Linked DNA regions of Solanum lycopersicum. Each later gene encodes a partner of the first gene's protein in a complex. Links are inferred from orthologs where the notes say so. Each region holds a gene or a part of one and is shown in the gene's direction. Other genes may lie near its edges.

What was found.
Region 2: the proteins of NADH dehydrogenase [ubiquinone] flavoprotein 1, mitochondrial (region 1) and NADH dehydrogenase [ubiquinone] iron-sulfur protein 4, mitochondrial are in contact, whole or in part, in a cryo-EM structure (PDB 8BED), measured with the Arabidopsis thaliana proteins. The link is inferred for Solanum lycopersicum from reciprocal best matches to the Arabidopsis thaliana genes CI51 and FRO1. Residues at the interface, in NP_196470.1 of Arabidopsis thaliana: Gly131, Arg132, Pro133, Glu237, Arg247, Leu248, Pro250, Pro251, Tyr259, Gly260, Cys261; in NP_201560.1 of Arabidopsis thaliana: Tyr140, Ser141, Phe144, Trp146.

The regions. Positions count from the first base shown.
Region 1 is NC_090801.1:65,985,213-65,988,970, forward strand, and holds the start of NADH dehydrogenase [ubiquinone] flavoprotein 1, mitochondrial, read left to right. Parts: upstream 1-1,238; 5' UTR 1,239-1,384; coding exon 1,385-1,387; intron 1,388-2,474; coding exon 2,475-3,758. UniProt on the Arabidopsis thaliana protein: Core subunit of the mitochondrial membrane respiratory chain NADH dehydrogenase (Complex I) that is believed to belong to the minimal assembly required for catalysis. Complex I functions in the transfer of electrons from NADH to the respiratory chain.
Region 2 is NC_090801.1:69,719,083-69,722,821, reverse strand, and holds the start of NADH dehydrogenase [ubiquinone] iron-sulfur protein 4, mitochondrial, read left to right. Parts: upstream 1-830; 5' UTR 831-1,045; coding exon 1,046-1,210; intron 1,211-2,117; coding exon 2,118-2,206; intron 2,207-3,739.

The DNA.
Region 1 (3,758 bases):
AAGTTTGGGCTATTTTTTTTTTGAAATAGGACCCAGTTAACTACTTGTCAAAAAATAAATGAAGGATCATACAAATTTTGTCTACCACATAACACTTGTGCCTCATTCGTCATAAAATTTTTAGTATATTCTCAAATGGTACTAGTGAAACAGAGGCATGGGTAAAGCATATAATTGAGCTGCCATCATTGTCAACAACAACATCTCTATTTACAACAATCATAAAGGAGAGATTGTATGGATTCCAGATAGTAATTAACACTTTGCACATGTTCTTATATGACAATGGATTGAAACAATGGGGAAAAGTTTGAGATACAAAGGAATTATGAACAACAATGTATCACGGATCCGTATAGTGTTTTTCTATATCTTGTAGAAAGTATTAGGCCAAGAGTTAATCTAGTATTGAACCACCTACGAGAAATATGGTGGACTCATTTATCCTTAATCAAGACGTGGTGGATTTAGGTAACGTTGATACATAGTCATTTTTTTTACGGAGCACTTTATTTTTAACGTAAAATTTTTCCGCACGAATTTAAATTTAGTTGGACTTCAATGTGAATATAAACACCGGTGAAAAATTAAAAATAAAATTAGTATCGAACAAGGATTGATTCTAAGCACATGTATGGTTTAATTTTATGTCTCTTGTTTAAAATACTACGTTATCATTACTCTTCTATTAACTTATTTTTCAATTCTACTACTATTTGTTGTTTTCTCTGCATTGGTCTTAGTTTTTTTTATATGTTTTAGCTTAGTCGAGTTTTTAGCAAAAACAACATCTTACTTTTTTACGATAATAATAAATTATTTACACACCACTCTTACGATTATTATTATCGCATTTAGAACAATTTATTATCAAATGTTCTAACACACGCGTGTGTATTGAGGATTCATTAGCACTAATGGCTTTGTTTTTAGATGATATTTAAATTTTGTCTATGTACACATCCAAACCTAACATTAACCAAAAGAGTAATTTTTCAAGCTATATCTGTTAACTTTTAAAATAGGGAAAGAATATAATATTTGGGTATATATTGGACATTAATGGCAGACGATAAATGTATATCACTGGTATACATGATTTTTGCATATTTCGATCATATTGGTACATTAATGGCAGACGATAAATCTTTTAACTTTGGTGTCACTAAGGCCCATTACGACATTTCCTGAACACTAAGGCCCATCATGATATTTCATACCCATCAAGCCCACTACGTGGACCGTCATGATTCACAAATCGCAACAGCTTCATTTTCCCTTATTTTTTTCTTATTTTTATGAGAAAGAGAGCTTCAATCTCACCCTAATCTGCTGGAGAATCAGCTGAATTTCGTCGATTAATCACATTTCTGCTTCAATATTCATGGTAAGTCCCTATCTTCGATCTGTAATTTTTTTGCGCCACCAAAATACAAATGAAAATTTGTTGTGAGAATACGCCTTACGTGCATTTTGATGCGTCCTCGGTTTGTTCGTTGATTACTCTTTTGGTACTCTTCATAGGATATTTATTGCAAATTTATATTTTCAGAGATGTGGCTTAATTTTAACTGATTCGAATGGCCATGGTATTCCTAGAAAGATGAATGATGAGGAACCCTAAATTTTATTTGGCTAGCACATGTGGGTATTGCTTTTGATCTTTTTTGATTCCTGGATAAGTTATTCAGGAGAGGTGTTGCTTCATTGATCTGCTTTCGTTGAAAAAAAATGGGTTATTTTTTTAGATTGGAGTATGTTATAAGTTATGCAAGTTCATATTTTGAACCTAACCTCCTTATCAGAACTCTTTAATTCATAGACTCCGTAGCTTCTTTTCTTTGTTTGTGTGTGTTTTCAACTTTGTAATTTAGAATGAGTTATATGTATATAGATTAATAAGGAGTTAGTGTAGTCTTCCGCTGTACTTTGAATTAAGCTCTTTCAAGGTAAGCTTCTTTTTTCAGGGAAAGAAAACCTTCATACTCTATTACTTCGGAAGGCTTATGTATTTATTTTAGAGAGGTAGATGTAAATTAAATTAGTACCTAAACTTTGAAAACAGTTAGTTAGAGATGTTTTGCGTAAGTGTTTCCTCCCCTCCCCCACCCAGACATCAAAAGGAGGGTATTCTTTTTGTTTCTTCCCCTCTTGTGCAATTCCCTTAGCATCAGGTATTAACAATCTATTTTGGGAATAATTTTTTTGGAAATGTTACTGTTACTCTCTCGATCTTATGTTTCTATTCAATCAACTCTGCTTCGGTGAGTTTAGCAAAGTGTACCCCATCTAAAGCCTGGAAAAGAGTTGTGTTGTGGTTGGTCTCCTAGAAAAAGAGAGTATTTTGCAATCATGATGCATAGACCCATCGCTTAGTGCAGTATAATACAATCTTTTACCTTTGTAATTATGCTTGCTCAGTCTCGCCTCTTATGAGGCTAAAATTACTGATGTGTGGCATGTTCTTCTAACAGGCACCTATAAAGGGCCTTCTTTCTCTACAACGAACTGCATTAGCTCAGCGTTCTAGTGAAAGATGGGGCCAATATGGTAGGTTATTTAGCACTCAGGCTGCATCAACTGCTAGCACTCCCCAACCTACACCCCCACCCCCACCTCCCGAGAGGACTCACTTTGGTGGCCTTAAAGATGAGGATCGTATTTTCACAAATCTCTACGGATTGCATGACCCTTACCTCAAAGGTGCCATGAAGCGAGGAGATTGGTACAGAACAAAAGATCTTGTCATCAAGGGTTCTGACTGGATCGTGAATGAAATGAAGAAATCTGGTCTTCGAGGACGTGGTGGTGCTGGTTTTCCATCTGGTCTCAAATGGTCCTTCATGCCAAAGACAACAGATGGCCGTCCTTCATATCTTGTCGTCAATGCTGATGAAAGTGAACCTGGAACCTGTAAAGACAGGGAAATCATGCGGCATGACCCACACAAGTTGTTGGAAGGCTGTCTGATTGCAGGAGTGGGGATGAGAGCTAGAGCTGCTTATATTTATATCAGGGGAGAGTATGTGAATGAAAGGTTGAGCCTTCAGAAGGCTAGACAAGAAGCCTATGAAGCTGGATTGTTGGGGAAAAATGCTTGTGGATCTGGTTATGATTTTGACGTATATATTCATTTTGGTGCTGGTGCCTATATTTGTGGTGAAGAGACAGCTCTTCTGGAGAGCCTTGAGGGCAAACAAGGCAAACCAAGATTGAAGCCTCCATTTCCAGCTAATGCAGGACTATATGGATGTCCAACAACTGTTACAAATGTTGAAACAGTAGCTGTTTCACCAACCATCTTAAGGCGTGGTCCAGAGTGGTTTGCTAGTTTTGGCCGGAAGAATAATGCCGGGACAAAGCTGTTTTGCATCTCAGGCCATGTTAACAAGCCCTGTACAGTTGAAGAGGAAATGAGTATTTCATTGAAGGAGCTGCTAGAGAGGCACTGTGGTGGTGTGCGTGGAGGATGGGACAATTTGCTTGCTGTTATACCAGGAGGTTCATCTGTTCCACTGCTTCCCAAGAACATATGTGAGGATGTACTTATGGATTTTGATGCACTCAAAGCTGTGCAGTCAGGGTTGGGAACTGCTGCTGTAATTGTCATGGACAAGTCAACTGATGTTGTAGATGCAATTGCAAGGCTCTCGTACTTCTACAAGCACGAGAGTTGTGGTCAATGTACACCATGTAGGGAAGGCACAGGATGGCTTTGGATGATCATGGAAAGAATGAAGGTTGGCAATGCAAAGTTG
Region 2 (3,739 bases), about 3.7 Mb from region 1:
CTTTTAATTATAATTTTTATCTTAACACACTACACTCTTATAAAGGATAAAAAATCGATCTATTAAGCTGCCTTGGAATTTTGTGCTTTGCGATAGTATGGATAATATAACATTATTTTTATGGTCATAGCTCATAAGTAAAAGATCGCTGTTATTTAAAATTTAATTTCAATTATTCAAATAAGTGAACAAATTAAGTGAAGTTTTTGTCTCAATAATTAAATTAGTTCATATATGTGAGTTAATAGGACGGTTCAGTTGGTTATTTTTTAAGAAATTATATCATCTTAATTTTATTTTTACGATTAAATTGTCATCTCAATCATATTAGTTTCTTTTCAATATCGGTATGATTTAATTAATTTTCGTTTTTTTTCTTATTTTTCAAGTATCACCTCAAAATATATTGTTTTTAAATATTTTTCAGGTATATTTTTAAAGAAATACTTCACTTCTTCATCAGATGTCAAGAATATAAAATGTTGTTATCGTGGTGTTTGATCTTAAAAATTTAATAGAAATGCTTGCATGTTTTCTGTATCTAAGACGTAAGTTATATTTATATATTAAATTTAACATATTAGTAACATATAAAATATATTTACATACATGTGAGGTTATTAGATTCGAAAAATTATCACTTTTTTTAATTGAAAAGATCATTTGAATTATTTGAGACAATTATACACTAAAATAAAAGTCTACAATTATTAAAAAAGTGATAAAAATTCATTGGATTTAATTTTTTATATTCTTTTGATACCCACAGATTTTGATTTCCCCTTCCCAAATTTTTCTTTTAAATTAAATCTATACTTGAAATTAGGATCAAAATTAAATATTTTTTGTATCTCACCTGAGCACTATAGTTTTTATATAATTATTCGCCTAAATACATCAGAGTACAAAATACTCGTATGTTAGCAAAGTAATGTATGCGTGAATTTATACGAGACATACGCCACATCACCGTGAAAATAAAAATACAAAGGGCAAAGTAATATCTGGCTTCATCACTTCGGCCGGATTCTATCATCTCAGGCAAATGGCTAGCTCTCTCCGACGACTAGCGACGCATTCCTCTCAAGCCGCCTGGCGATCTTCTGTGACGCCGCTATGTAGACAATTTGCGTCAGAAGCGTTGGTCGAAATCAAGCCCGGAGAGATCGGTATGGTCTCTGGTATTCCAGATGAACATCTTCGTAGAAGGGTATAATTTCTTTTCTTTATGTCTCTTCGCTAATATCTATTATTTTGTCAGGTCATTTAGGTGTATGAAAAACTTCATTGTAGGTTACCAATTTATTAGGGCTTCTATAGCAGATCCATGGGTTCCGCTATTTAGGGTTAGCAAATGATTTGGGAAATGGATATGGAGGATCCATATAGTTAGAATCAATTGATTTGAAATTGATATAGTTGATTGATTGCTTTTCATTTTTGCCTTTGTGAATTTATGTTACCTCTAATCCGAAGACTATTCCTTTTTAGCCCTCCTTTTGTCTTCCTCGCTCCTATTCAATGATATAGAAGAGACCATAGCTGCTTAGACACTTGTGACAAGTAAAAAGTTGTAAGTTTTCATGGTAGGGAGTAGTTTCTGCTTGGCAAGTATTAAGTTGAACTTGGACCTTCTAGAGCTTGAATTGATAAGCCTTAATATCAGACCCCAGCTTGGATTAATGCAAACTTTTTCCCCACGGAGGTTTTTCATCCATTTCTGCACAAATTTAGTTATATAGATTTCTTATCAAATCTATAATCTGATCTATATCATCTATACGAAGCTGTTTACACCAAAAAAGTAGAGATAATTCACATTTATTTCTCTCTATGTTCGTGTCTATTATTTTATTTATCCCATATTTTTCCTTTCATGTGCATGGTTGGTTTGCCCTCTCTTTCAATTTTGGTTATATACAAATGTATTGGCTTGTTCAATTTCTTCAACTCTTATATTCTCAAATTTCTTGAAGTGTTTAAATGTGCCAAATGATCCTAATCTTTCTTTTAGTACATATATTTTCTGTCTCTTCATGTGGAAAATTGCTCTCAGTTAGTGGATTAGATCTTATGCACCATGCCCCTTTTGGTAGTTAATAATGTTTGCTCACCAGGTTGTGATTTTCTCTCCTGCTCGGACTGCTAGTCAACAAGGCTCTGGAAAAGTTGGCAGATGGAAAATCAATTTCATGTCTACCCAGAAGTATGTTTTTGGATATCTTCCTTTTCTTTTCATTATTAAGAAGTTAGCATGGTTCACCAATATTAGTCTATTTTTAGCCAGCACAAAATCCTGCAGGACTTTGTACAGTAATTACAATATACAAACTCATCTACCTTATCCTTCTGTCCTGTACTAAACAAGAAGAAACAAAGAGAAAACCTTAAAGAAAGTTTTGACAAGTATAGATTATAAGTTTTTTTTCCCGTTAAAAGACTATAATTTTAATTGTGCCTAGGTCTCAAAATACAATGTTTGACTATGAAATTTGGACCACAACAGGTTGTTTGGTTTGTGAAGGTTAAAGAGATTGTGAACTTATTTTCCTCTAGTGGTTCATATAATTATAGAGATCTGGACATTGGTGTCTTCCTTTTTATCTACTCCCTTTGAACCATTTCATATGTCACCGTTTGACTTGGCATGGTGCTTAAGAAAAAAAGGACTTTTGAAATTTGTGGTCTAAAACAATCTTAGAACATTTGTGTGACCTTAAATCATTTCATTAAGGTAAAAGGGGAATTTTAAATTAAATTGTTTCCAATTATAGTAAGGTGACACTCTTTTTGGGACGGACTTAAAAGTAAAGGGTGGAAAGGGTTCCACATAAAATGGGACTGGGGAGTATCATTTAATACAATGTTGGTGCATCTGATTATGGGGTTTTTTTGGTCGTGGAGGGAGGTAATTAGGAAGGTATATTGGTTTTGACAACGCCAAAACTCTCGGGTTCATAAAAAGAAATTACTAATAAGAGTCCAGAGTTCTTCCTATGCTGTAAAGATCAATTATTGATTAACTTTAAACTTCAATAGAGAATGAACCCCATTCATTGAATTCAGCTTAGCCAGACGGTGTTTCTTCGAGTTTACTTAAGTAGAAAAATTGCTGATTGTTGATGAAAAAAATGTATATTCATATCAGAAGATGCTGAGAGAGAAGCACTCATAATTTATGGCCATGGTAAAAGTTTTGTACTCTCCTCTATGCGAATCAAACTATTTTATCCTGGGTAATTTCATGGATGGTCATCCAACTAAAAATCTTAGTGCACCAAAGCTATAAAATTAATTTTTGTAATGGAAAATGACTCTTAACTATGCGCAAATATCACATTAAATAAAAAACAATAATAATGCTAGAATCTGGTCATAGAAAACACAAGTAGGTTGCTAAATTGTATGAAATTTCTATACAAGTACAACCACGTCAGCAACTCAACCCTTAGATAATATCTACGTGGTGCTACCTAAATGAACAATTTTTTTCCGATCCAACTTACTACCCGACATCTTTACTGTGTGAGCCATCATTTTTTAGGACAGATTTATATTCTTGTAAGTGGTGTCACGTGGATATTATGTAAGATTAGTTGCTGAAATGACAACCTACTTGTGTTTCCAGACTCATTTTAGCATCTCTCGCTTTTTTTTTAAAAAAAAAATTCTACGTATATCCTATATTAGCCGAATGGAGTTTTCATGTTATTACAGTTAGTTATATTACTTTGGTGCA